Oryzias latipes: one gene and its partners. The protein of the gene in region 2 purifies or fractionates together with the protein of the main gene of each other region. This does not show direct contact. Links are inferred from orthologs where the notes say so. Each region holds a gene or a part of one and is shown on either strand. Other genes may lie near its edges.

Evidence for each region.
Region 1: the proteins of polr2g (region 2) and med1 purify together in Homo sapiens (affinity purification with mass spectrometry; 3 studies listed by BioGRID and IntAct, with this or other methods). This does not show direct contact. The link is inferred for Oryzias latipes from reciprocal best matches to the Homo sapiens genes POLR2G and MED1.
Region 3: the proteins of polr2g (region 2) and ctdp1 purify together in Homo sapiens (affinity purification with mass spectrometry; 4 studies listed by BioGRID and IntAct, counting the BioPlex papers as one, with this or other methods). This does not show direct contact. The link is inferred for Oryzias latipes from reciprocal best matches to the Homo sapiens genes POLR2G and CTDP1.
Region 4: the proteins of polr2g (region 2) and gpn3 purify together in Homo sapiens (affinity purification with mass spectrometry; 3 studies listed by BioGRID and IntAct, counting the BioPlex papers as one, with this or other methods). This does not show direct contact. The link is inferred for Oryzias latipes from reciprocal best matches to the Homo sapiens genes POLR2G and GPN3.
Region 5: the proteins of polr2g (region 2) and polr2m purify together in Homo sapiens (affinity purification with mass spectrometry; 4 studies listed by BioGRID and IntAct, counting the BioPlex papers as one, with this or other methods). This does not show direct contact. The link is inferred for Oryzias latipes from reciprocal best matches to the Homo sapiens genes POLR2G and POLR2M.
Region 6: the proteins of polr2g (region 2) and scaf1 purify together in Homo sapiens (affinity purification with mass spectrometry; 3 studies listed by BioGRID and IntAct, counting the BioPlex papers as one, with this or other methods). This does not show direct contact. The link is inferred for Oryzias latipes from reciprocal best matches to the Homo sapiens genes POLR2G and SCAF1.
Region 7: the proteins of polr2g (region 2) and gtf2b purify together in Homo sapiens (affinity purification with mass spectrometry; 3 studies listed by BioGRID and IntAct, with this or other methods). This does not show direct contact. The link is inferred for Oryzias latipes from reciprocal best matches to the Homo sapiens genes POLR2G and GTF2B.

The regions. Positions count from the first base shown.
Region 1 is NC_019877.2:9,657,436-9,660,935, forward strand, and holds part of med1 (mediator of RNA polymerase II transcription subunit 1), read right to left. Parts: intron 1,586-3,500; exon of another isoform or gene 1,417-1,585; intron 682-1,416; coding exon 575-681; intron 250-574; coding exon 171-249; intron 1-170. UniProt on the Homo sapiens protein: Component of the Mediator complex, a coactivator involved in the regulated transcription of nearly all RNA polymerase II-dependent genes.
Region 2 is NC_019868.2:13,737,590-13,741,709, reverse strand, and holds the start of polr2g (DNA-directed RNA polymerase II subunit RPB7), read left to right. Parts: upstream 1-1,320; 5' UTR 1,321-1,559; coding exon 1,560-1,571; intron 1,572-1,819; coding exon 1,820-1,929; intron 1,930-2,099; coding exon 2,100-2,259; intron 2,260-2,437; coding exon 2,438-2,488; intron 2,489-2,597; coding exon 2,598-2,663; intron 2,664-2,800; coding exon 2,801-2,872; intron 2,873-3,495; coding exon 3,496-3,529; intron 3,530-4,120. Other genes in the region: uncharacterized protein LOC101155778, read right to left, coding at 422-521, 613-780, 854-922. UniProt on the Homo sapiens protein: Core component of RNA polymerase II (Pol II), a DNA-dependent RNA polymerase which synthesizes mRNA precursors and many functional non-coding RNAs using the four ribonucleoside triphosphates as substrates.
Region 3 is NC_019869.2:25,078,931-25,082,430, forward strand, and holds part of ctdp1 (RNA polymerase II subunit A C-terminal domain phosphatase), read left to right. Parts: intron 1-102; coding exon 103-244; intron 245-331; coding exon 332-550; intron 551-2,354; coding exon 2,355-2,508; intron 2,509-3,500. UniProt on the Homo sapiens protein: Processively dephosphorylates 'Ser-2' and 'Ser-5' of the heptad repeats YSPTSPS in the C-terminal domain of the largest RNA polymerase II subunit. This promotes the activity of RNA polymerase II.
Region 4 is NC_019870.2:16,801,177-16,805,397, reverse strand, and holds the start of gpn3 (GPN-loop GTPase 3), read left to right. Parts: upstream 1-1,421; 5' UTR 1,422-1,536; coding exon 1,537-1,584; intron 1,585-1,740; coding exon 1,741-1,849; intron 1,850-4,083; coding exon 4,084-4,221. UniProt on the Homo sapiens protein: Small GTPase required for proper localization of RNA polymerase II (RNAPII). May act at an RNAP assembly step prior to nuclear import.
Region 5 is NC_019861.2:21,379,036-21,383,013, reverse strand, and holds the start of polr2m (protein GRINL1A), read left to right. Parts: upstream 1-1,178; 5' UTR 1,179-1,289; intron 1,290-1,374; 5' UTR 1,375-1,421; coding exon 1,422-1,528; intron 1,529-2,260; coding exon 2,261-2,794; intron 2,795-2,909; coding exon 2,910-3,132; intron 3,133-3,763; coding exon 3,764-3,907; 3' UTR 3,908-3,978.
Region 6 is NC_019866.2:24,770,106-24,773,605, forward strand, and holds part of scaf1 (splicing factor, arginine/serine-rich 19), read left to right. Parts: coding exon 1-1,904; intron 1,905-2,506; coding exon 2,507-2,589; intron 2,590-2,672; coding exon 2,673-2,948; intron 2,949-3,500.
Region 7 is NC_019875.2:5,825,962-5,829,968, reverse strand, and holds the start of gtf2b (transcription initiation factor IIB), read left to right. Parts: upstream 1-1,207; 5' UTR 1,208-1,286; coding exon 1,287-1,303; intron 1,304-1,950; coding exon 1,951-2,063; intron 2,064-3,780; coding exon 3,781-3,914; intron 3,915-4,007. UniProt on the Homo sapiens protein: General transcription factor that plays a role in transcription initiation by RNA polymerase II (Pol II). Involved in the pre-initiation complex (PIC) formation and Pol II recruitment at promoter DNA.

The DNA of each region.
Region 1 (3,500 bases), on a different chromosome or scaffold from region 2:
TTTCACCCGTAAGTTAAATAATTGGAGGAAAATATAAAGCTGAAGTGAAAAAGTAATTGTCTGAAGCCTTCACGGCTTTACCGATTAAGAGACAAAACAATCATTATGAAAGAATTGCGACGTTAGCTATTCATTCTTTTTCTTTTTGCACTGTGGGACGGGACCCTCACCTTTTAGTGCTCTCTGCAGGGTCTCCAAACAGTTAAGCAGGAGCTGGTGACCTGCCGCATTCATCACACCGCGTTTCTCCTGAGGCACAACACGAGTAAGGAGAGGAAAAAAAAGAATAAAATGTTGAAATTAATGATTATGCTTTATACAACCAAATCGGGCTTGCTTTTAATTTGCGTAGCCAGCACTCTTGGTCTGACATTTAAATGTCACCAAGGGAGGTCAGTAAAGAAATAACTTCTTTAAGCTGTTTTGTGCTTGTTATTACATACTTAACTAAGAACACTAACAGGCTGTAAATGAACTTTTACTGCACTCTGAGCATGTGCAGTAATCTAGAAATATTTTTATAGTATGTATAATATTGTGGGAAAATTGGAAAATAATAGAATATCTGTCTTACCATAGCCTGACGCACAACTTTGCATGTTTCCTGCCATGGTCGGGAAGCATTGTGTTTAGCATGAAGTCTCTCTAACAGAGCAACCGTTCGACTCTGCTTTTCTGCCTCTAAAAGACAGAAACAGAATACAGTTAAGCCTATAATGACTGACCTGTTTTTCCTTTACACATTGGATTTATTTTTTTCCTAAAAAAAAAAACAGATTAAAAAATACAAAACTTTGATTATATATCTTATAAAGGACAACATAACCTGATTACTTTCATAAAAAGGTTGAGTTGTATTTTTTTAGGCAGTTAATAGTCAGGTAGTATCACTATATACCTTCTTTAAACAAAGGCTTAAACCCTTAGTTATAACAAATATTTTATTGCTGTAGAATGCAACTAAAAAATAGTCAAAAGTAATTTCCCAATTTATCACCTCTAAAAAATGTCAGTATATTTACATACAAAGAAGAGCATCTACTGAAATCTTAGGTCAGCAGTTTGTTTTGTTTAGGCTCAGCTAAAAGTAATGACATTTTAAAATGACACGTTGCTTTCTAAGGGAGAAATATTTAAAGCGTCTGTTCTTTATGTAACCAAAGAAACTATGAGCATTTGTGAAAAGCTTTAATAATATAAACCTACGGTGGCCGACAGAGCTCACACTACATACAAAAAAGACAACGCAACGACATTACCCGAAGCACAACGGCGTTCCCCGAAGCACAACGGCATTACCCGAAGCACAACGGCATTACCCGAAGCACAACGGCATTACCCGAAGCACAACGGCATTCCCCGAAGCACAACGGCATTACCCGAAGCACAACGGCATTACCCGAAGCACAACGGCATTCCCCGAAGCACAACGGCATTACCCGAAGCACAACGGCATTAACCACAGCGCGACGGCATTAGCCGCAGCATATCAATATTAACCTCCTCAGCACAACGGAAATGACGACTATTTTTCTTCCTACTGGACATAAAGTCAGTTTCAACATATTCGGCGCTCCTGAGAGAGGTACGTGATTTTTTCTACTACTAACTATGAGGATCATAATGGTGTTTTCGTTTTCTTACTAGATAACCTAATTTCTTACAAATATACTCTTCTTCTTCTTTCTCTTTCGGCTTTTCCCATCAGGGGTCGCCACAGCGAATCATCCTTTTCCACCTCACTCTATCATGGACATCTTCTACCCTAACATTAGCCAACTTCATGTCCTCTGTTAAGACATCCATGTATCTCCTCTTTGGCCGTCCTCTTGCCCTCCTGCCAGGCAGCTCCATCTCCAACATCCTTCTACCAATATATCCACTATCCCTCCTCTGAACATGTCCAAACCATCTCAGTCTGGCTTCTCTGACTTTGTCGCTAACACAGGCAACATGAGCCGTCCCTCTGATGTACTCGTTCCTTATCCTGTCTAACCTGGTCACTCCTAAGGAGAACCTCAACATCTTCATCTCCGCTACCTCCATCTCAGCCTCTTGTCTCTGTCTCACTGCTACCGTCTCTAACCCATAGAGCAGAGCTGGTCTCACCACTGTCTTGTACACCTTTCCTTTGAGTCTTGCTGGCACTCTTCTGTCACACAACACTCCTGACACTTTCCTCCAACCGCTCCAACCTGCCTGCACTCGCCTCTTCACCTCTTTTCCACAATCCCCATCACACTGAACTGTTGACCCCAAGTACTTAAACTCCTGCACCTTCTTCACCTCAGCCCCCTGTAACCTAACACTTCTACCTTGATCCCTCTCGTTCAGACACATGTATTCTGTCTTACTACGACTGACCTTCATACCTCTTCTTTCCAGAGCAAACCTCCACCTCTCTAGCTGTTCCTCCACCTGCTCTCTACTCTCACTGCAAATTACAATGTCATCCGCAAACATCATTGTCCAGGGAGATTCCTGTCTTACCTCGTCTGTCAGCCTGTCCATCAGCATAGCAAACAAAAAAGGACTCAAAGCTGATCCTTGGTGTAGTCCCACCTCCACCTTGAACTCCTCTGTCTGACCTACAGCACATCTCACCACCGTCATACTTCTCTCATACATGTCCTGAACTACTCTAACATATTTCTCTGCCACTCCAGACGACCTCATACAGTACCACAGCTCCTCCCTCGGCACCCTGTCATACGCCTTCTCTAAATCTACGAACACACAATGCAGCTCCTTCTGACCTTCTCTGTACTTTTCCATCAACATTCTCAAAGCAAAAATGGCATCAGTGGTGCTCTTACGGGGCATGAAACCATACTGCTGCTCACAAATCTCCACCTTCTTCCTAAGCCTGGCTTCCACTACTCTTTCCCACAGCTTCATTGTGTGGCTCATCAACTTTATTCCTCTATAGTTGCTGCAGTTCTGCGTGTCACCCTTGTTCTTAAAGATTGGGACCAGAACGCTTCTCCTCCATTCCTCAGGCATCTTCTCACTCTCTAAAATCCTATTGAACAACCTTGTTAGAAATTCCACTGCTGTCTCTCCTAGGCACTTCCATACCTCCACAGGTACGTCATCAGGACCAACGGCCTTTCCGCTCTTCATCCTTTTCAGAGCCTTCCTAACCTCATCCTTTCCAATCTCTGCTACTTCCTGCTCCACAACAACCACATCTTCCTCCCTTCTTTCCCTGTCATTTTCCTCGTTCATCAGCTCCTCAAAATACTCCTTCCATCTTTTCTGTACACTCTCTTGGGTTGTTAGCACCTTTCCATCTCTGTCCTTAATCACCCTTATCTGTTGCACGTCCTTCCCATCTCTGTCTCTCTGTCTGGCCAGCCTGTACAAGTCCTTCTCTCCTTCCTTTGTGTCTAACCTGTCATATAGCTCATCGTAAGCTTTCTGTTTGGCCTTTGCCACCTCTCTCTTCACTTTACGCTGCGCTTCCTTGTACTCCTGTCTACCTTCCTCAGTCCTTTCTA
Region 2 (4,120 bases):
TATGTCATTTTTAGCCAAAATCAAAAACCTGTGTCGTTTTCTAGGACATATGTTCTGCACATCGGCAGCAGCTCATGAGAAATTCATCTGGGTTGTTGGCGGGATTCTAGGCACGGAGTAAGCCCGCCCCCACTTCCCGTCACCAATCTGTTTACACTAGCCTACAGCCCCTCACAAGCCCAACCTAACATAAGTGGTGCAACTAAAACGGCGAGCTATCCAGCCGTACAGTTTTGAGCCAAATACCAGCTGGGATGAGGAAAACAGAGACGGACATGGATCTGTCTGCAAGTGAACGGAGCGGAGCAGGAACTGCAGTTTGAACGTGTGTGTGTGTGTGTGTGTGTGTGTGTGTGTCAGAGTCTCTGAATTCATCTTCACGTCCTTCCAAAATAAGGGGTAATTTAAAGGCAACACCCACCTGTATCTTTATTCATTAACTCATTGTAGTAGGCGAAGAAGGCTCTGAACTCAGCTGGTCTATGAGACAGGACTTTGAAGACATTGGGCAAAAAACCTCCCTGTGAGAAGCAAAACATAGAAAGAAAGATGTACATTTTCACAGTGTAAACCTTAATTTAAACGTCGAATTCGTTATTTGTGAGCGTTTACCTTTGCCTCAACCTCTTCCATAAGCTCCACTATGTCATAAGGGAGGTTTTTTCTGTAGGGAATCGGGTAACGACTTATTTTCTCCGGTGGACCGCCGCTGGAGGATTGTCTGGTCGCCGCTGATCCGCCAGATCTCCCCTGGAGTAAGAGGCTTGACGCGGGCGGAGCCTTAGTGGACACCGAAGGAATCAGCAACAAGCACGACTCAACAAACACCACACAAGACTTTTCAACTACTCACAGCTTGAGTTAGTAAGGACGACCGAAACAACAACTTGGAGACGAGTTTGCCTGCCATGTCACTCCACATCAATGCAGACCGCTTTTTTGTGGTTGGTTTACGCTTTTTAGTCGCCTCAAATACTCCAGGGCTTTCCTAAAATTATTTACTTTAAAAAATAAAAATCTCACACATTACTATCTACAGATATTATAATTCGAAAAAGCTACAGTTGAATGCCGTCCAAACATGAGCCTTGTTTGGGGTGATTTCCCGTCGCGTGTGGCCACACAGACGCTATTTAGCTTTGTGTTTGTCAGATCTTAAATCGGTTGAAATCATCCAATGAATAAGCTCCGCTGAGTGACGCCTGTTCTTTAGTACGCCCTGTTGCGTCGGCTCCTCCTCGCCAGTAGGGGGCAGCAGTCATGAGTGCTGAACATGGTCTGAGGTAACCTTTCTTAAAAATACAAATTCAAAGTTATAACCACACATTTGATTTTCACGATATACATTTTACATTCTGTGGGTTTTATATATTAACAATACAAGGGTGCCATTTCTTCTCTTTTAAAACAATGAAAGGGCAACTATCTCATGTGACCCGGAAGAGATCGTTTTGACACACCGATGCCTTCATGCTAGCTGTTTTAGCATAAGGGAAACACAATTTGGACAAAACAGTGCAAAACAATCAAAGAAAGAATCTACATCTATATACAACAATATGTTTTATCATGTAAGTACTTGAACTTTTCCACCCCTTATGAGAGTATTAATAGATATGAAGGGAGGTTTTCGTCTTCGGTTTTTGCGCGATAATGAGGCGGCTTCACACAACTTTTTTCAAATCCCTTTTACCAAATATATCAGCGAAGTTTTATCTTCCATTGTTTGGATCGGCTTGTAACAGCAATGTTATTTGGAAAGTTTTTCCTCTTAAGTTAGCACGATCATAACCACGCCATGATCATGATGTGTTTACAGATTTCTTTGGAACATGAAATCTTACTACATCCACGGTATTTTGGTCCAAATCTGCTCAACACAGTGAAACAGAAACTCTTCACGGAAGTGGAAGGTACCTGCACTGGCAAGTGAGTAACAGCTAATCATAAATAAGTGCATAAGTGTGATTACTTTGTAAGTTTCTAGTCTGTCCTGAAAATAACAAGCATTTGCATTCACTTTTCTGTAATGCTGGTTTGTATAAAAAAGCTTAGAACTGCATCCCTACAGTATTTCCTGCTTGTGTCCCTTCTCCCAGGTATGGTTTTGTCATTGCTGTCACTACTATTGACAACATTGGGGCAGGTGTGATCCAGCCAGGTAGAGGTTTTGTACTCTATCCAGTCAAGTACAAGGCCATTGTGTTCCGCCCATTCAAAGGAGAAGTGGTGGATGCTGTGGTCACGCAGGTTAACAAGGTAAGGACCCATAAGTACCTGTTGTAGGCCTTTCTAAGATGTTTGCCATGGAATAGATCCTTTTGTTGAACGCTTGTTTTTCACATGGAAAACGTAGATTCATGAATTGTTTTTCTGAATTCCAGTCTCTTTAAATACATTTTCTATCCTCCTTTAACAAAATTTGGGTTCTTTGCAGGTTGGCTTGTTCACAGAAATTGGTCCCATGTCCTGCTTCATTTCTCGCCATGTAAGTTTATGTAACATTTAACACTTTACTATATATATATCTTGACCTAATATGTAGGTATGTTTTTATATTATTGTTTGTGTATTTTATTGTTTTTTTATTCTCCCAGTCGATCCCTTCAGAAATGGAATTTGATCCCAACTCCAATCCACCTTGCTATAAAACAGTTGACGAGGTATGTGTCATTACTCTGTCTGTTTTATGCAATAGTAGATTTAGCATGCAGAGACATTGAAGGCTACTTTTCTCTTTCAGTTTTTAATCCTTGTGATACATTTGATTTTAATGAACATTTCTTATTGTGTTTATTAGGACATTGTAATCCAGCAAGATGATGAGATTCGACTGAAGATTGTGGGAACACGAGTGGACAAGAATGACATTGTAAGTTTTTTCCATAAATATTATTTTTGATCTTTTGACCAGTAGCGACACAGATCCATTAACATCTTCATTTTCCTTGACTGAGCTGCCAGGACTGGATAGCTCCAAAAATTCCTCGCACTATTGTCATCTTGGGGCTGTAAGCTAGTGGGAAAGAGTGTAGACGGAGGATTGATACGAAATTAGCGCAGGATTACTTTGCACCAATAGTCCCGCTGACAACTCAGAGGTGAATCTCTGATGAAGGTTCCTACCATTCGGCAGAAACTATGTCCCAGAGAACATCACAGTTTTTTGTTGTTTTTTTTGGCCAAAAGCAGCACAATCCTAATGAAAAGACCACTGGGAACAATTTAACAATAGATCAAAAGATGATTGGATTGGGACTTTAGGTCCATATGGATTCTTGTAATGTTCCTTTCTTTGACTTTCTGGTGTTTTTTCAAACCATTTAAAAGAAGAACAACAAGCTTAGTTTGAATACAGCAGGATCTGGTTTGACAGTTAGTCAAAAGCCTGATTACAATAAAAGCAACCTCACTAAAACATCTGCTTGTCGAAATACCCATGTAAAGAATTGTGCAAAACTATTCATTGAAACAAGTTTCCTCTTTGTTTTCTAGTTTGCCATCGGATCTCTGATGGATGATTATTTGGGTGAGTATTAAATGTCAAGTCAGAATTATTTTTTTTTTTTTTTCAATCAAACAACAACATAACTAGACGATGATGATCTTTATATAAAAAGAACACATACTTTAGAATCTAAAATATGTTTGGTTACTATTTTAAATTAAAATTTATTTTCATTCGTGTTGTATTATTTTTCTTAACTGTCATCAAATTCATTCAGTGCCAGCATTTGGAAATTCTAATATTCAAACATACGTACAACATTTTATACACTGAAGTTTAGGATTTAGTTTTACATGAAGGACCTTCTTAAAATGATCTTCAACTTCCTTTATCTCACAAAATAGATAACTTATTAATTCTTCCAAATATTCAGTGATTCTTTACCATAAACAGTACATTTTCAACGCAATTGATACCTCACAGTATACAATTGTCATTTGTTTTAGTACAGTTTTCAATGCAGTATTATGATTTAATGGTAACATTTGGTCAATAATATTTTCATATTTTTAAATCACAGTGATTATTATTTGAAAAGGTATTACTCAGAAAGTAAATCTGTCAGATTTCAGTTTGTAAATTGCATATAAATGGCATTAATAAGCAATAAAA
Region 3 (3,500 bases), on a different chromosome or scaffold from region 2:
ACATCCATGTGGTTCCTCTGATGGAAAAGAGCAGCAGTTCATGTTTTCTCTTGTGGTTTAGGTTAAGTCTGAGTTCTGTAAACTGTTGCTGGCCCCCATTAGGTACAGAGAAGGTCCGACAGGGGCAGGGCTACAAGCACCTTCATGTGGTCAACCCCGACTGGCTGTGGAGCTGTCTGGAGCGCTGGGAGAGGGTGGATGAGCAGCTGTACCCTCTGAAGGACGACTACTCAAAGACGCCCAGGTATGCAAGTCCTTCGCTGATCACCCTTTAACTCCTGACTGTTCAAAGATGCATGAACGTTTTCGTCTCCCCCCACTGTCCCTGAAGGAGCAACAGCCCAGCAGCGTTTGCTGAAAGTCAGGGCTCCACACAGAAGCCGGCCTTCCAACCCACCCCCATCCAGCCCAGACCCCCACCGCCAGCCCCAGAGTCCCGGACGTATGACCCCGTAACAGGAAAGCTCATCCGCAGAGGCCCCAACGTTCAGCGCCCTCCATCCTACTTGCACCCATCAAGTTCTGAACCCCGAGATCAGCCCAGCCTCAGGTACTGACGCACAACAGCAGCTGCTGACTCAGCATCTGAACGAACCAGTTCAAAGGAAAAGAGAAGAACCATAGAAGTCTCTGCTAAACGTTGAGGACTCCTTCTTTGGTTTGTCCATGTGTCCGTTTCAAAGAAACATGTCAGAGCCTGAGGAGGCTAGGTGGTGCCCTGTGACACGATGGAGGACCAAACCCTACATTTCAACACTTTCCTGACGCCTTAGTTACTCACACCTGTGCAGGTGCTGCAGGTTTTTGGGCTGTCCGGCCCACGGAGGGTCATAGAGAGGAGCGGCTGCATGTTAAAGGGAGCGCAGGTGTCTTTTAGTACCCTTTAGGCTACCTACAGGGACATCATGAATACGCAACTGCCCATAGGATGTCCACACAAACTACACTCTGATAGTCTAACCTGCTCATTTCTAACAATCAGGATGCATGTAAGGATCACACACTTATCTCTTGAAGAGTCCTAATGCAGGATTGGGGGAGGTAAAAAATGAAAAATGCCAATGACATGCCTGCATCTCACCTACCTCACCCCTCCTCACCCTCACGGGTTGTTTAAGTGTTCACTAGAACCTGTAGCTTTCAGCATGCCTGTAGAAAATAATGTTTGCGATTATTTTAGCTCAATGAGCGATCTACGCCTTTGACATTTTGTGCAAGTCACCCGCGTGTGCCGTACAAGTCAGACCCCCCCCCCACAAAGAGCCTGTATCCACCTGTAAGGGCAGCTGTTCTTCTTAGGCCCAACAAGCGGCTGTGAAAGGAAATATTTCCTCTGCAATGTGGAGCTTATGAAGCCAGACCAGAGGGGCTCATTGCACCGGCAGGTCGGTGTTCCACAGACATGACTATAGTGTGAATGGCGGTGGACCCCACAATGACATTCAACTATATTTAAAGATCCTCCTCCCTCTCTGAATGCTGTGAAGACTGAAGAAGGAGAAGTTTGTGGGGAGAAGAGCTATTTTGCGTGGGGTCTCCTCTTGGGATAACATCCTGAACTGCTCCGTACAGACAGGGCAGTCTCATCACATTACGATGGCGGACGGATGTAATCAATCAGAGTTGGCTTTCAGTCAATCGGAAGCCCTTCATGGAGCTTTTGCTCCTTCATTATTATCTTCAGTTTAATGAAGCCCCAGTTCAAAACCAAATGCATCAAGCTGAGCTAAATCTGGACACATATTAGCCTTCTTAGAAAAAGGCTCTGTTCTGCTCAGTATATTGATGAGAGCTTCTACCTTCTTAGCTGGAGTAGATGTCGACCATGCGAGCCTCCTTTCCATCCTCGGTTTCTCTTTAAACAGAGGTTTGTGGATACTGTTGCCCCCGGGGGGCATGAGCAGGAGCTCCAGAGGAGCGCTGAGGGACAACAGCGATGGTTTTCCCGTGGCTGCTCTGCAGCTCTCTGACTCATCACTTCAGCTCCGAAAACCAAGCATGAGACTAAAACTCCCCTTCAAACGAAAAGGTCTGTGATGATGTGCTGTAATTAAAAATCTCAAGTGGAAAATCGGCCCATTCTATTCCCGGATCGGAGGAGCAGAGGAGTTTTCCGGGAGTCGCGTCCAACGATCAAAGAAGATCTGTTCAATTAAGCAGAGCTTGCTGATATGTCTGCTGGGCCCTTGAGCCTGAGCATTGTGTGTAGCCCCCCCCCCCCCCCCCCCCCCCCACACACACACACGTTGTTTTTCAAAGGAATTCTTCCCAGCATTCCTGCAGGGATTGAGTGTTTCTGTTTACCTCCCCAACCAACCTGCTCGTCCTGACTGGGGTTTCTGCTTCTACCTCAGGGCGGCTGCACCCACTCCGCTAAAGGAGGCAGCGGGATGCGTTCAGGACGGCGAGCAGGCGGGGCCATCGCGGCGCAGACGGCAGCCCAGCATGTCAGAAACCATGCCCCTGTACACGCTCTGCAAGGAAGACCTGGAGAGCATGGACAGAGAGGTAAGACGGCCAGAGGCTGGAAGGTCATGATCTGAACACGGTGGAGGCTTTGACAGCTGTAAACACGCACTAAAGGACGGTAAGACACGGCCGAGCGTCCACTCCTCCAGAGTCCAGTGAACTCTCTCAGCACGGTTCCATCCACAGCCTCATCACCTGTAAATAATGACAGGAAGTCTGATTAACCTTTCAAATGATATCACACCTCAGTAACGATTGACACCCAGAGTGTCTCCACTTTCTGAGCAGCATTTGAATTTCTCTAGAGGGAAAACTAAACTGCTGAAGCCATTTCCTCTCCTCCTCCTTCATGTTTTCCACGTGTTCAGGTGACTTCACCTGGAGGCAGATTTTAAACACATTTAATTACAGAAACACAACTTCCACTGATAAATAAATACTCTCCAAAATATGGATATTATTCAAGTATTTAGATACATCCAAGCTGCCTGTCTAACCTGCCAAAGGGATCTTTTTATGTTTAAGGTATAAATTTAACTTTTTACAGCTTAATTTTCTCTGTTTGTGGTGTAAATGTATCTTTTTCCTTCAAATTTTGAATGTCTGAGGTGTAAATTGATCTTTTATTTGTATGTTTTTGCGTGTTTGTGGTGTGAATCTGTCATTTTCATCTATATTTTTGCTTGTTTGTGGTGTTAGTTGTTCTTTTTTCTTTCTATGTTTTTGGAAAAATGACAAAATCTGGTTTAAAGTACACTACTCATCTTTAACTGTGCGAAAAATCCTATTAGTTGCCAAAATGTGACCATATTTTTTCATTTTAGTTTCGCTTTAGTCTTCTTTCGTGTTTGCTGAAGGATTTTTAGTGCGTTCTTAAAAAAATCATCCTTCAAAGAAAGGAAACTCGTGTGGAGTCAAGCTCTCAGAGGAATCTTTCCTAGAAATATTCGGACCTCAGAGGCGGTTTTCCCAAATCCAGCTGTGCTCAAAGTTCAAGGAGAGTGAAGTCTTTCAGCAAAGAACAGGAGCTT
Region 4 (4,221 bases), on a different chromosome or scaffold from region 2:
GAGGTTTTCAGACCTCATTACTTTTTAACGCTACACAAACGATTATTATAGTCATTTATAACTAGGATTTAAAAAAAGAGAGGATTATTATCGCTCGTAAACAAATACAGAGCCTTATGCTAACAACAAACCTTAAGGTAGTTCCTGAAGTGAAACTATTTCATATCACGTAAATCGAAAGCACTGACGAAAATTAACATGAACGTGTTTCAGACAGCAAAAAAAAATACAACAAAAAAAGAAAACATTTGTTTTAAAAAATAGAAAAACAAAGACTTGCCATAGTTAGTAGTAGTAGTAGTACCTGCTAAGAAGTCCACCGTCACGCGGTAATGTCTGTACACAAACTTGGCCTGTTAACTCCATTCACTTCCTCGAAACATACTATTAATTTAAGCGCCTGATGAAGGACGCAATCAACAAACTTGGTGAGCAGGAAGGCTTGCATACGTTTCCAAATTTCACCTGATCATCGCATGTTGATGCAGTCACTTTCTACTTCTTACTCAATTTTGGTGGTTTCGTTTGTTGACAGCAAAGATCCCTGGGGCTCTACCGCTCCCTAACGGCCAGTTTGTGAACAACTTATTGTCATGATCTTTGCTTTAAGTTTCATGGTTATCGTGGTCATATCATAGGCAGTTTAAACGACTTGTTCAAATAAATACATATGGTTTTAATAAAGCAATTTTAAAGTTAAAGAGCAAAATTTTTCATTTCCTGGGGAAACTTAAAAAAATGCCACAACTGACACTGCCACAGAATTTGCGACTCAATGGTAATTGACACACAAAAAGAAAACAATTGTTGCACAGTATTTTCCTCACTATATTGGTTCAATGCTCATCATCAGTACATTCGTATGGAAGATTTCTGTAGTATATTTTAAAATGAAAGTCAATACCAGAAATGCTTTTTCAATTTTTAAAATGAAGCTGCATTTGTAATAATTTATAATAAAAAAAAAAACAATCCGACCAAACCACTTTTTCTTTTTCTTCTTCTTCAACACAGCTCATTCTGTCACTTAATTAAAATGAGAAAGAAAATGGTATTCGACATTTTTTACTAAATGTGTAGCATAATGTAATTAGAAATATCTTCTTTGATCATCAAAGTTTATTAACAGAAATGCTTTTTCATTTTGAAAATGTAACTGCATCAAGTGAATTAAAAAATAAAATTACAAACGAATGAGCCAATCTGCTTTTCTTTTTCTTCTTCAACACCGCTTATTCTGTGGCATAATTAAAGCGAAAATGCAAAGATGGGATTGCATTTTTGTTTTCACATCCACCGTGCGAAAGGTGTAATAATTCATCACCAGTTCATTCCATTGTGGCTCTTTTTCAGACCACTGTCACCCTGACTTCCATTTCCTCTTTTGATCAGTAGGTGGCAGTAATGAGCCTGACCGTAAATCATCTACCGGAGAAGAAGAAGTAGCGTCATCACACCGATGCGTATGGCATTACAAGCTAGCGTCTGTGGTTAAAGATACTTAAGATCTTTATCACACCGCATTTTTCAGAGAAAATGCCTCGCTATGCCCAGTTGGTGATGGGCCCGGCTGGTAGCGGAAAGGTATGTTTTCAAAAATGCCACTGGATGGTCTACAGCCTCTTGTCTGTTGTTGCTAACAGTACATGAGGTGGTGTCAGTCACCCAGCGTGTTTTTATTTTGTTATTGTGTTTTGCCATTAATTGTATCTTTTTAAAATATTATTATTAATATTTCAGAGTACGTACTGCTCCACCATGACCCAGCATGCAGAGGCTTTGAACCGCTCAGTTCAGGTGGTCAACCTGGATCCAGCAGCAGAACACTTTAATTACCCTGTTATGGCAGGTTAGTATGCTCAAAATGAACCGTTTGTGTCTCCAAATATGAAAACAAAAAAATTAAAAAACGATCATGTTGTCATGGTAATCCATCTATGACAGCAGGATGTCCTTTCTGACGTTGGTAAATCCTTGTTAAAGTCTTGAGATCTGTTGAACCTAATTTACTTTTGTTTAAAAAAAAAGTATTTTATTGAATCTTTAAGTTTATATAATAATAATAACAATATTAATAATAATAATAGTGGATTGGATCTTTCTGCGCTTTTCCAGACGCTTAAAGTGCTTATTATGTGTCCATTATTCATTCACTCCTAAGTCATATTATGGATACACCTCAGTATTGAGAGATAGAATGTTACAAATTAAAGACTTCATTTGTAAAGTGAAGTAGAAAATAAGTATTTGGTCAATATCAAAAGTTCATCTCAATTCTTTTGATAGAGGTCAGACATTTTCATTGGGTCTTCTCTTTTGGTCCATTTCTCCATGTAGATCTCCTCAAGAGCTTTGACGTTACTGAGCATCACAGACTTTCATCTCCCTCCACAGATTCTCTATTGGATTGAGGTCCACAGTCTAGCTAGACCACTCCAGAGCCTTAAAATGGTTCATATTTTGCCACTTTTGTGTTGCCTAGGCCAGTGTTTTTCAACATTTTTTGAGCCACGGCACACTTTAACCTTGACAAAGACACAGCGGCACACCAGCATCCAAAAAAAAACTCAGTCTGTATTGATCGACAGCCCCCCCCCCCCGCAATCTCACGTGCATTTTTGTGATAATTGGGGCAGAAAAAACAGGAAGTTGCAGCTGTTTTTTCTAAAAGATGAAATAAAAGTTAAGTTAGAAAATTCAAAAACTGTTTCATGTGTGTTTGTTGTGGTTTCAAGACATTTAACAAGGACGACTCATTGTACGCTAAGACGCTGTCCCTTTAACCCAGTGCATCGTGGGAGATGTAGTGTGAAAACTGCCGCAAAAGGGCAGAAGCTTCAATGTTTTGTTCACTTGTTCCACGGTCTGACACCGGATTCTGTGGAAAGCTACACCGCTAAAGACGACCTTTGGCTGGTATTTTTGTTAGAACCGAGAGACTTTATGAGCTAAATCGGGACAAGGAAGTGAAGACTTTAACCACTTCTGATTGGTCAGACTGATGACATGTGATTAAACCTTCAAGAATGATTGGCGGAGACAGTTAAAGGGGCGGGACTTTTCCTAAAACAGCTAAAGCTGCAGCCAAATCGCGGTACCGTCATTCTTATCAAAATGTCTTTAATAGAATCAAATAAACACAAAGAAAAAATAATTTTGTGATCTTTTATATTCCTAACTACTCAGTGTTTTATCAGGGCCTGTTTGGATGAACACAGAGCTGATTTCCTGGAGATGGGAAATGTTTTTAGATCAGTTAATGAGGGCAATTTCCCACGGCACACTGGACCATCTCCCACGGCACACTAGTGTGCCGCGGCACACTGGTTGAAAAACACTGCTCTAGGCAATGTGTTTGAGATTTTTGTCATGCTGGAAGATCCAGGCACATTTCATCCTCAGTACTCCCACTGAAAGAAGAAGTTTTCTTTTGCCCAAAATCTCTCCATTCATCCTTTTCGTAACAAGGATCAGTTGTAATGTCCAGTGAGCAGAAACACAGGCCCAATTCATGATGTTTCCACCCCCATGCTTCACAGTAGGTAATGTGTTCCTGGGATGTGAATTGGCGATCTTTCGCCGCAAAAAACTGCAAGTGGCGTTGATGCCAAAGAGTTCCATTTTTGTGTAGTTCTGGGCGGTTTCCTCATCGTTCTCAAGATCATATAGCAAACAGGTGACGTTAACACAGGAAACATGGAAGAATTTCTTAAAGAAGTAACAGGTCTGTGAGGGACAGACATCCTGGTCGTTTGTAGGAGATAAATACTTCTGTGGTACTTTTTGCACCACTGAATAAATAAATGATTTCAAAATCCTAAAATACAATTTCTTGGATTCTTTTTTTTTTTATTGTCTCTCTCACGGTTGAAGTGTATCTAGCTATGATGAACTTTAGAGACCTCTACCATTTTTAAGTAGGACAGCTTGCAGAATCGGTGGCTGACAAATACTTTTATCGCCCGTCGTTGAAATTAGAAGCAAAAGTAGATGATTAGTGAAAAGTGAGATCCTGCGAAGGTTGTTTTTTTAAGTCCGTTTCCAGGAATTAATGCCTTGTGTTTTTTTTTTTTGTGCTTTCAGACATCCGGGAGCTCATCCAGGTGGACGATGTCATGGAGGATGACTCTCTCAGGTTCGGCCCCAACGGAGGCCTGGTGTTCTGCATGGAGTACTTTGCTAACAACTTCGACTGGCTGGAGGAAAGCTTAGGTCACGTGG
Region 5 (3,978 bases), on a different chromosome or scaffold from region 2:
TAATTGTCTTTTTTTTTTTGAGGGAAACAGAGCCTTCAGCTTTCAGGCTCATCTTTTGTGGCACCAACTCCCCAGTTCAATTCTGGAGGCAGACACCATCTTTATCTTCAATGCAACTAAAGCCTTCCTCTGATAAAGGAAAAAGTTCTCTTTGACCTGGATGACCTTAACCCTTGTGCTATCATAGGCACTTTGACATTGGGAGTGGGGTCATCTGGACCCCACAAGACAGTGCGCTGAACGTTTTTTCTTAAATGATTTGTAATCTTCACTGGTGTCCAAGGATAACATGAAATCCTCTTCGCCTTTATCTACCTTTGTCCTGGTAGGGATAACACGTCAATGCTAGGGTGGGGTCATTTGGACCCCATAAGATAGCACAAGGGCCTCACTTTATACTTTTCTTATTTCTGCTTTGTTTTTTTTTAAGAATGCATTTAATACATTTACAGTTCCTAACTGGAATGTCTTTGTCATGTGGTTGCAGTGTTTGCCCCTGTGTTGTCTACATGTCTTCCTGTCCTCTAATCCAAACCACTAAGTGTAAACGGTCGCTCTCATTTGTTCCACTTAAATTGTTACATTTTCACTTCACAATTGTCTGTTTGCGTCCTCATAAAGGATTGCGACACATACTCTTTGATGTAATCTGTTGGTCACTTATTGAAAAAAAAAAACTAGAGTTAGCCAATTTGACCCGAATGAAATATTATGGATTAAATTGGATTATAAAACCATTTTAAATAATGTAGTTGGAGAAAAAAATAAATAAATTATTTTGTGGGCACCACTGGTGCTGTGACGTGCTTCATGCAATCAATGACGAGTCATGGTATTTGTCACAGTAATCTGAGTAAAAGATAACTTCAATAAAATGGTTAAGTAAGACATATGGTTACTATTTCCTCTAAAACACTTAAAATGATATGTGATTGAATCTTTTGTCATTTTCCCACAAAACTGGAGATTGTAATTACTTGATTCATTGTTTCTTGCTCTCCTAGATTTTTCACCTTGCGATAATATCGGTTGGAAATTTAGTTTTTTTGTACAACTGAAATTGAATTTACTGTATTGGGAAATTCTCCTCATGATCGTTTTTGGTAGTCGTGACCACCTTTGGCCAGCAGAGGGCAGCAAATTACATGTGTTATTCCAACGGCCAACGAGCTGCAGTACAGTGATCTGTACAGTAGAGGGAGAAAGAGCGTCACAGCAGACGTTGAATTTCCGCAGAAGAAGAAGAAGGTCCCACTTTGAAATGTTGTCATGAGTGGAACTCAAAGAAGGTTTCACGTAGAGCGGATTGTTTTATTAGTAAATTGTTTCTAGTGTTTTTGTCGTATAGTTTTAAAGTCAAATTTTAATCTACAGTTCGTTGTGTGGGAATGGCTGCAGTTGGAAGCGGGTAGCCATCAGTAATGTCGTGGACCGATCAGCGTCAGGGGAAGGTTGGAGACCTGAGGAACCAGAGCAGAGAAGAACTGCAGGAGCTGCTGCTGCGACAGGAAAAAATCCTCTCCAATAAGTGAGTCTGGCCTTTTATTAGACGACAAAAGAGACATTTTCCTGTAGTTTTTTTTTATTTGTTTAATGACCATAGTATATTAGCAGTTAAAAATAGTTACAACACATTCGGTTCCATCATGTTAACGTTATACCAACTGTTAAGAAATTAAAAGTAAAACCTGCACATTTTAAAATGCCCACTTTGGGCTTTAACCGAATGTTTTATATTCCAGATGCTACATGTTCGTTTATATTGTTTATTCTTAGTCATCTTTTAACTTTTAATAACAAAAAGTTACTCCCAAAGACAAATGTTTTGCTCGAAAAATGTCCCTTTTCAACAGTGAATGTAATCATAGCAAGAGGATTATGTTAGAGTCCCCCTCTGATCATCTGGATCCAGTCTCCTACAAGTGGATGCATCATGGCGTGGAGGAGGAGGGGGCTTGTGGCCTGCCGACTGTAGCTTCTACATCACAACAAGATTTTTTTCATGTATATGTCCTCTATCCTGAGAAAAATGCCACAAGAACACGTTAAAAACCGAATTTTCATTGCAGTGGGCCTCGAGGTTGCATCAAAATAGCTAGGAATGTATCATAAACCATATCAACTGATGCTTATTGTGTTGTGTATAAATCACAGATTAAGTTGTTGTTTGTTTTAGAAAAAGAGGCAGAGATGTGATAAATGCCATGTGACATAACTGCTCGATGAGTTCTTTACAAGATGATTGTTTGTTGTTTTTTAGGAGGTTATTACAGACTCTTCCAGACAAAGGGAAAAAAATTCAAGATTTTGCAGACAACGTGCGTCTCGCCATTGAACAGCGCATCGAAGAGGAGAGGAGGCGAGATTTACTGTCTGCTACAAGGAGCGATTTACAATCCAAGTACCAGCAAGCTTTCAGTTCGCAACAACGTGGAGTCACCTCATCAGCACCTTCATACCAAAATGAGGAAGGAGAGGACTCACGAGGAACGGAAAGCACACCTGATTTAGCACCAACGAAGAAAGATGCCACTTTAGAAAAACAAATGGACACATCTGCTGCCGAACCCTCTGTTAAATCTGAAGAGATAAAAGAAAGTGAGCTAGTGGAAGCCCTGGACAGGGTCCAGGTATCCGAGTCCAATACTGGAAAGTCCAAAGAAGCCTTTAACAGCAAAGCAACAACCAATTACTTTCTCCAAAAGCAAACACCAAAGAAGCCTCACTATATTGCTGTCCTGAATAGAGGAGAGTCCTCTTTACATGCCATCAGGCAAAAATTCAAACCAAATCAGTAAGTTACTTTATTTCTTTCAAAACTTTGATATATTATTTGCATTTATGTCTGTTTTATTAGGGATAAACATCTGGATTCCTTGAAAATCAAAATGTTTTAACCCTCTTTTCAGGCTGCTCAACAGAAGTGACGTTTCAACGTCAGGATCCTCGTCACCAGGTGAGCCCTCTGGAGATGCATCGCCGCTGTCCGCTCAGGCCAGGAGGGAGCAGGACAAGAAACACCTGGATGATGTCACTGCGGCCAAACTCCCTCCTCTTCATCACAATCCTGCCCAACTCCTGACCCTTGAAGAGTCCGCTGCCTTACTTGTAGAACACACCAGAAAGCAGCAGGTTAGTGTGACTGAAACCTCTCACACACATCAATATGACTCGCCATTTAAAATGGCTGTGAAGTGTTGAGAGGGCTTCATCACTGATGTCTATCATTTTGGGCTTGTTGTGGACCACTCAGAAGATTTTCTAACAATGCACAGTTGCTACTGTGGAGGTTTTCATATATGTGCAGGACTGATGGTAATATAGGTGTCATTATTTGCCCACAGGGGCATTTTCATAAATTCTTTTTTATTATTTTGTTAAAATGGTCTCAAAACAAAATGTTATTATCTGCCATTGCACAAAAGCACACATTGACAAATGTTATGCAGGTTTGAATAAAAAACTGAAAATAAAAGTGAATAAATTGGTTCAAAGTAAAATAAAAATCTTAGTGAAATGTGTTTTTAATGAATCACTGACTACATCATTTGATGTTTGTTTCATTTTGGTTTTTCATAGTTGTCATTTTCCCTTAAGAACTCCAGAGGGCAGTATTCAGACACTGACTTTACATGCAGACCAATACCTGTAAATGCAAGAGTCAAATCATCTTATTATTATTAGTCATATTTCAGTGTTTATTGCTCTCTTTATGCACTTTTTCCTATTGTTTTTTTTCTTCAAATCTTGTGTATGATTGTAGGAGTTGCAGGCCAAGCTGGCAGCCCAGAAACTGTCTGAGGGACTAAAAATGTCGGTGGGGGGCTACAACCCTGACGGCGGCTCCATGGGCGCCTACAGAGAGGTGCACGATGAAGAAGCACAGCTTTCCTCAGAGGAGGACTGATCCTGGAGGACCAGCTGAGGAAACCGTTGGCCCTTTGGCTCAAAGATGCTTTGGACCTCACTATGTGGAGC
Region 6 (3,500 bases), on a different chromosome or scaffold from region 2:
CAGAAAGAGAGACAAGAAGGAGAAACCACATTCAAGCAGCAGAGAGCGGCCCGCAGCGCAGAGCGCCAAAAGGAGCAGGGAGAGGAGGGACGGCAACCGAGACCGCCACCACGACCGGGAGCGTCGCTGCGATGGCCGCCCTGTGGTTCCGCCCTCCATCCAGGACCTCAACGGGGCCGACCTCTTTGCCATCAAACGAACCATCACGGTCACCACCACCACCACCACGGTGCCCGGCTCCCCCAGACACGCCCCCCCATCCCCCTGCCGCATCGCAGAGGTTGCCGATCCCCACAAGAGGAAGAAGAGAAAGTGGCGCTCGTCTGTGGATGTGGAGGATCACCGAAGGAGTCGCAGCTGCTCGCCGCCACTCTCGCCGCCAAGATACCATGGCTACGGCTCAGACCGCTACTCCGACAAACTAGAGATCGACGTTTTGTCTTTGGACGGGGAAGCTCTAGACTCGGACTACCCGTCTTTAGAGGACACGCCTCCTGCTGCTCTGCCTCCAGAACCTCATATTCCCAGCCCCAAACCCAAGTCGGCCCCCAAGACTGGACAGAACCGCTCCAAAAAGAAGTCCCGCATCCTGAAGAAGTCTGAATCCTCCTCCAGTAGAACCACCGGCAAATGTCTGTCCTCGCTGACGGTCACTTCGGGCTCCGCCTCCGCCTCGCCAGCCCTCCCCTCAGTGAAGCGACCCAGAAAACTCGGGAAGGAAAAGGGGCGGGACAACAGCAGGAAGGACCCGAGTCGGCCGGGGAAATCCAAGAAGGAGACAGGCGGCAGTCGGAAGGGCAAGCTTCAGTCCAAGGTGTCCGTGCTGGTCCGGGAGGGGGTGAGCAGCACCACGGGGGCCGGAGTTGGCTCCGGGAAGCTGAGCATGGACCTTCTTGGTCCTGGAGGGGCAGGAGGCGGAGCTGGAGGCTCAGTGGTGGGAGGATCCATTGCTGTGGTCTTCTGCAGGGACAATGAAAGCAGATCGCCCTTCCTCAAGCCCTGCTCCGAGCCGCTGTCGCTGGGGGGCCGCAGTAAGGACCTGACCGGCTTGGCCAAGCGAAGCGGTTTGGCTGGACCACCATCGTCCTTAACCGGCCCCGCGGGGCTTAAACCCAAAAAGACCAAACCCAGCTCCATTACATCCACCTCCTCCTCAGCGTCCTCCCCCTCATCCTCTCTGGCAACCAAGCGCCGCCGCCGCCTCGCCAAAAAGGTAAAAGAGAAAAGCGGAGCCATTGGCTCGACTGCAGAGGACGGTAGCCAATCAAAACCTCCGCCTGAAGGCTGGGGCGGAGCCTCCTTTGATGGTCAGTCTGTCGCTAAAGAGAGCGGGAGTAAGACGGTCAGCCCTCACACTGGCCATACCGGGCCGGCGCCCTCCTCCTCCTCCTCCACGTCCTCATCCACCAGCGTGCTCCCGCCCTCCTCCTCCCCCCCACACAGTCCTCCTTCATCTGCCGCTCCTCTGAGGGACACCCGGGAGTCGTCGCCCGACTCTCAGACCGTGGACAGTAGCTGCAAGACCCCAGAACCGTCCTTCTTGGGGGAGGACGGTCCAGCCCGGAGCAGCCCCACACCGGCCCCTGCCAGTCCCTCCAGCCTGTCCACGCCGCAGGGCGCCGGCATCACCAATGTCTTGACCACACCCACCGCAAAGCACCAACCTCCAGATGACACCCCGAAGTCTGTGGCGTCTCCTCCTTCCTCGTCTTCGTCAGCAGGCGGGGGCCTCAACTCTCTCTCTCTGCCCCTGTCTTCGTCTGATCCCTCCTCCTCGTCTTCGGTGTCGTCCTCCTCTGCCAGCAAACCTCCTCCTCCTCCACCCCCGCCTCCCCTGACGGCATCCAGCCTCCCCTGGAGCCTGCAGACCGGGGTGGACTGCACGACGGGGGGGGTCCTGGCATGTAAGTCCTCTGGTAACCAGCAGCTCTGCCTTCATAGAAACATGTGGGGGGGCTGCATAAATACCCCCTGTAGGGGTAGGTTTAAAAACTGAGACTGAATTTCACTTAGAAGCATTGATTGAAGTATTGTTTATTCCTGTATTTCAGGAAAAAATACTTTTAAATAGAAGAATTTATCATTTAATGATGAAAATTCCAAGTTTTTCTTTTTTTATCAGTGTAAAGAGTTTGGGACCGTTCTTCCAAATGTACTCGGTCCTGATCCGATGACTCGTGACTCGGTCGTCCAGGCAGATTTAGCTGATGTTATCTCACATTACCCAGAAAGCTCAGCACGGATGGACCGCCGTGAAAAGCAGTGACGTTTAAAGAAATCCCCGTCAGAGTGGTTGAAGGCAGGAGTCGCCTGTTTGGAAGAACATCAAAGCTGAAAAACTCTGAGGTTAGGTCTGAAAAGGAACCGGGGAGGATCAGGCAGCTGACACGGTCATGATGGAGGCGGAGCTTAGCGTCTGCGGGAAAGCCTGGCCTCTATTTAAAAAAAACAAAAAAGATCTCAGCTGCAGGTTGTTGTGCTGATGTTTCATCTGCTCCCCCCTCAGTGACCGCCCTCCTCTTCAAAATGGAAGAAGCCAACCTGGCCAGCAGAGCAAAGGCTCAGGAGTTCATCCAGGCCACCAGCCAGGTGAGTTGGGAGGCCCACCTGCCTCTTCTCCTCTTCCTCCTCTCTGAGGCAGAGCGCAAACTAACAAACATGTCCCCCTGCAGATCCTCTCACAGGCCAATCAGAGCCAGGCACAGCAGCTTGCTCCTCCCCCCTCTGCACAAATCCCTCCCCCTCCTGGTCTAAGCCCCACCCAGTTCATTCTCCACAGCTCTCGTCCTTTGGCTGGATGCACCAAGACGCCACCCCCTCATCTCCACGCCTCCATAACAGCCGGGTGTGCGCAGACCCCCCCCTCTATCATGCCTGGAGGGCTGTTGGGGGTGACGGGGGGCTCCAGTGATGCAGCATGGGAAAATGAGTCCAAAGACCCTGACAAGGTGAGACGAGTCGTAGCAGAAGCTACATTTCTTTCTTTCTCTCTTTAAGGTTTCAAACTGATATTAGTGGGAGAAGTGCACGCCGCCTACACGTTCACAGCTGCAACATTTGCTGGACCTTGTGGAAACAACAATCCACCCTTTTCATTGGATCTCAAAGCATTTGATCACCACAAACCTAATAGATACAACCGCAGCACAGTAGTGTGTTGGTGAGCGACGGCGTCCCCGCCGCTTCCACAAGCTCACCCCGTTATTCAGCCATGGAATGATTACGGGTCTCAGTCCACAAAGTGAGTCTGCAGGAGCGTCAGCCACCCCCGTCTTCACTGCCCCCTTCCTGGCTGAGCAACGGCTACCCCCTCCCCCTGGCTCGCAATGACACTCGAGGAGTTAGGACACGATGGATCAAAATTTCCTAGGAAGAGTTTTAGACTTTTTAAATTCAAGATGGCGACCTTTTCCTGAGGTCAAAGATCAACAAAACTCCGGTTGTGGTTATACGCTTCGTCCAAATTCCTTCCCTACTCTCTACAAAGTGCACTATGATGC
Region 7 (4,007 bases), on a different chromosome or scaffold from region 2:
GTTGCAAGTTCTACGTCACTGCTACAAGCTTTTTCAAATCCTAACTGTACTCTTTGTTAAGAACACCCAGAAACAATCAGCCACCTATTTTGGAACTGTAATATTACAAAAAAGTTTTGGAAAGAATGTACTTGTTTTATAAATCACAAATTTGACTCACAATTTCAGATGAAATTTGAATGAATCATATTTGGCCTACATAAAAAGAACATAAAATCAAACATAAAATTGAAAATTAATCCAATCATAATATAAAGTAAGTTAGACATCAACAAATCAAAATTTCACAACTTTTCCCCCCTGTATTTATTAAAGAATTAGAATCGTATTTATGTACTATTTCTAATAGCACAAACAAAAAAGGGAATACGTATTTATGAAAATTCTCTGTCTTTGAACATATTCAATGTATTGTGATGTGTTTTACAATATTTCTATTGTAATATATGCCATCCCCTGGCAGTCCCGTTTTTATGACTATTGTTCTTGTCATACATACTTGTTCTATGTGTTGTGAACAGTAATGCATTAAAAAAAACATTTTTTGGGGCAGAAATGCAGTTTTAAGATTAATTTTCTATATATGTCATCATATCATATCATGAGAAAAATGCCATTAGAACATATTAAAAACACCAAAAACGTGATTTCCATTAAAGTGGGTCTTTAACTTGTTTTTATTGGTTAAATGTTTTAGTAATGCTAGCTTAAAAATAAATGAAAGAAGCTTAAGAAAAAAAACAATGTAAAGAGAAAAAAAGACACTGAAGCACACACTCAGGTTTGAACAGTTCCCCAACCCAAATTTAACCATGACTAGTTTACCCCGACCTTAACTAAGCTCATTTACACATCAACCCTTTGGCCCGCGAGGGGCCAAAGCCTGCCCCTCATGGTCGATCAGGTGTCTGAAGGTCTCTGTGGGGTCAACATAAACCTGAAAAGCTGAAACACAACAACACACAACGTGTGTATTCATCATGAACACACGAATGAAGACTAAGAAGATCACCCAACTTCAACTTTCTAGTAGACCTGTCAAATGTGTAAACGGCAACAACATTGCAGGCAATGTAGTCTGATGATTTATTCGCTTTGGGTCTGAAATGTAAAAGAAAGGGACAGGTTTATTTTTTTCACCAAAGGTGACACAATATTTTTGACTTTATTTATTTATTTATTTTTAAACTTATTTGGCCTTCTTGACTTCCCGTAGTTGGTCACGTGATCAGAATAGTCTATAAGTACAAGTGCTGCATCCGTCCGGGAGAAGAGAGCGGAGGAAGATGGCTTCGACAAGTCGGTGAGTTGCAATGGCTGCTAACCGTTCAAAGCCCGGTTTTCTTTGTTAATGTGACTCAAAGTGTCTCGTGGTAAAAAACCACCGCGTCTTGTGATTGACCGTGGGACTCTGGCGGTAGAAAGTGTCGGGCTCCATTTTTCTTCTCGGGAATGTTCAGTCTTTTGTACTCCGTCCGTGACAGCCAGCTAGCTCGCGGGCAGCTTCACGGAAGAGGCTGCCCGTTAGAACTCCCGGTTTTGTCGTTTCTCTGACATCTGAACGTTGGCCTGAAGGAGTTCTGGATCAGCCTGAAACTCCGTGGAAACGCGCACGTCCGCACATTTACCGGGACTTAAACTCGTTAATATTTCTTTATGCTAGGAAAGTTGAAGCGATCGTGAAATGGGTATTTCCCATAATTCAACGCGTTTTGTTTTGGTGGGTAGATGACACAAGCAACTACAGAACCAGGCGACTGATAAATACTGGAAACATAGGCTGTTTGTAGACTTAATAAATATTTGTTAATCCTATCAAGGTGTCTGGCTTCTTCCTTGGAGAATGTAGCGGAACATCGACTTTAAGGGATTTTCTTTGTTCGTCATTTATTTGTTGTTTTTGTGCTCCTTTTTAACATTTTTGTTATCATTTGTGTTTTGCTTGTGCAGCGGAGATGCTCTCAGTTTACCCAGAGTGACATGTCCCAACCATCCTGATGCCATCCTGGTGGAGGACTACCGCGCTGGGGACATGATTTGCCCCGAGTGTGGGCTTGTTGTAGGTGAGTACTTCAATGATAAACCTGTACTTGGCCTACATTTGTTGGAGGTAAAATGGGTCCATAGCTGGAGAGGTTTGTCTTGATGCTGAAGCTGTAAAGAGTTCTGTGTGACCTGGCCTCCACAGTCAGACCTTCACATGCGCTTTGAACAAACCTAAAAGCTTTTTTTTCCCTGCTACCGTAATTTCCGGATTATAAACCGCCACTTTTGTCACACGCTTTCAACCCTGCGGTTTATTCAATGATGCGGCTGATTTATGCATTTTTTCTAACGGCTGCTAGGGGCGCTCGAGCAGAAAAGGAAAGAGTGAGACGGGGGATAAGGTATATGTGTCGAGGAAGACACAAGTTTAATGTAAATTCCCGCTTTCTGAATGAATAGCACGAACAGACCCTCATCATGGAAAATGCAAGAAGAAATGCATATGAGGCAGCTTTCAAGTTAAAAGCAATGGTTAACAGCAGTGTGAAAAAATCCACCATCACCAACGGGTTTGGAAAAGCCGGTCTGCTGCGTGACAGAGAGGACAGTGCAGACTCAGGAGAGAATTTACCTCAGGATGAGAGTGACACTGACAGCGACAACGAAGGAGAGACACAGAGCGTGTGTGGTGAAGAATATCTGACGCTTTTCCAATCCGACACTGAGGAGGAAGACTTCCATGGTTTCAGTGCACAGGAAGTTCGTGCTGCGCAGAGGCGAGCGCCAATAAGTTACTGCTGCTCTCAGTGACTTCTACCACGATGTTTTTTTTAACCAGCCCTGTTAGTGCTGTTACTACCGTATTGCTGCCGTGTTACTGCCGTGTCACAGGCACTGTTTGGAATAGAGCTGTGACGGTGTGGGATTTTTGATCACCGCGGTGATGAAGAAGCAGGAGAAGTCACGGTGTCGCGGTTTCCAAATAAATACCGGTATAAGTAATAATTACAACGCATTATTCTTTAACAAATAACAGTAACAACTAAATCTACCTAATGAACTAACTACATAGGTGTTGTAGAATGAGTATGTGTTTGTGTCAGCACACTGGGTGTGTAGGGGGAAGGAGCGTGAGTGAATGAGAATGCTCCCTCTTCCTATCCCGCTGCACGAGCTCCCCCCTCTTTCTCACACACGCCGGCGAGCGGTTTCAGCACGTACACATCCATTCTACAACACATGGTTCAATGTGGGCACATGCGGGCGGCTTAGACAGGTGCGGCTTATGTATGTACAAAATGGTTTATCCTTTAAAAATGTAATGGGTGTGGCTTATAATCAGGTGCGCTCTATAGTCCGGAAATTATGGTAATTATGTCACCTGTAAAGGAAGTCCATTTTATTCTCATCACGGATCTATTTTCAGCCATTTTTCCTCCAAAGAAAGATCAAAGCTCCAGGACTTTGATCTGGAACGACCACAGTTTTCATTTTCTTTATCTGATTGTCTTATTTTAATGTTGATGATGAATCTGCATCATTTACACACAACAGTACAAAGCAGTACGTCTGCAGTGTGTGCACAGATCAGTGTAGCACAATTTATCCCTCAGAAACGTCAAAGAAGAACCAAAAGCACATCAACAAATATCCACCAGAACCGTCAAAGTACGGTTTAAACAGAAAAACGAGATTGTTGCTCAAATCAATTACAAGTAATTCAGCGTGTAATCAAAGTTTCCACTCAGCCTTTCTAACATCACGGTTCTGGTTCTTCACGCCTTCTGTCCTTAGGTGACCGGGTCATTGATGTGGGTTCAGAGTGGAGAACCTTCTCCAACGAGAAAGCTCAGAAAGATCCATCCAGAGTGGGAGACGCCCAGAACCCTCTGCTCAACGGAGGAGATCTAACTACCATGATCGGCAAGGTGGGACAGCAGACCTGTGGTTAGCTGTAGATAGGGGTCCAACAGATCACGGATGATTCCTACGGATCTCTAGCCACGGTTCAGCACACATGT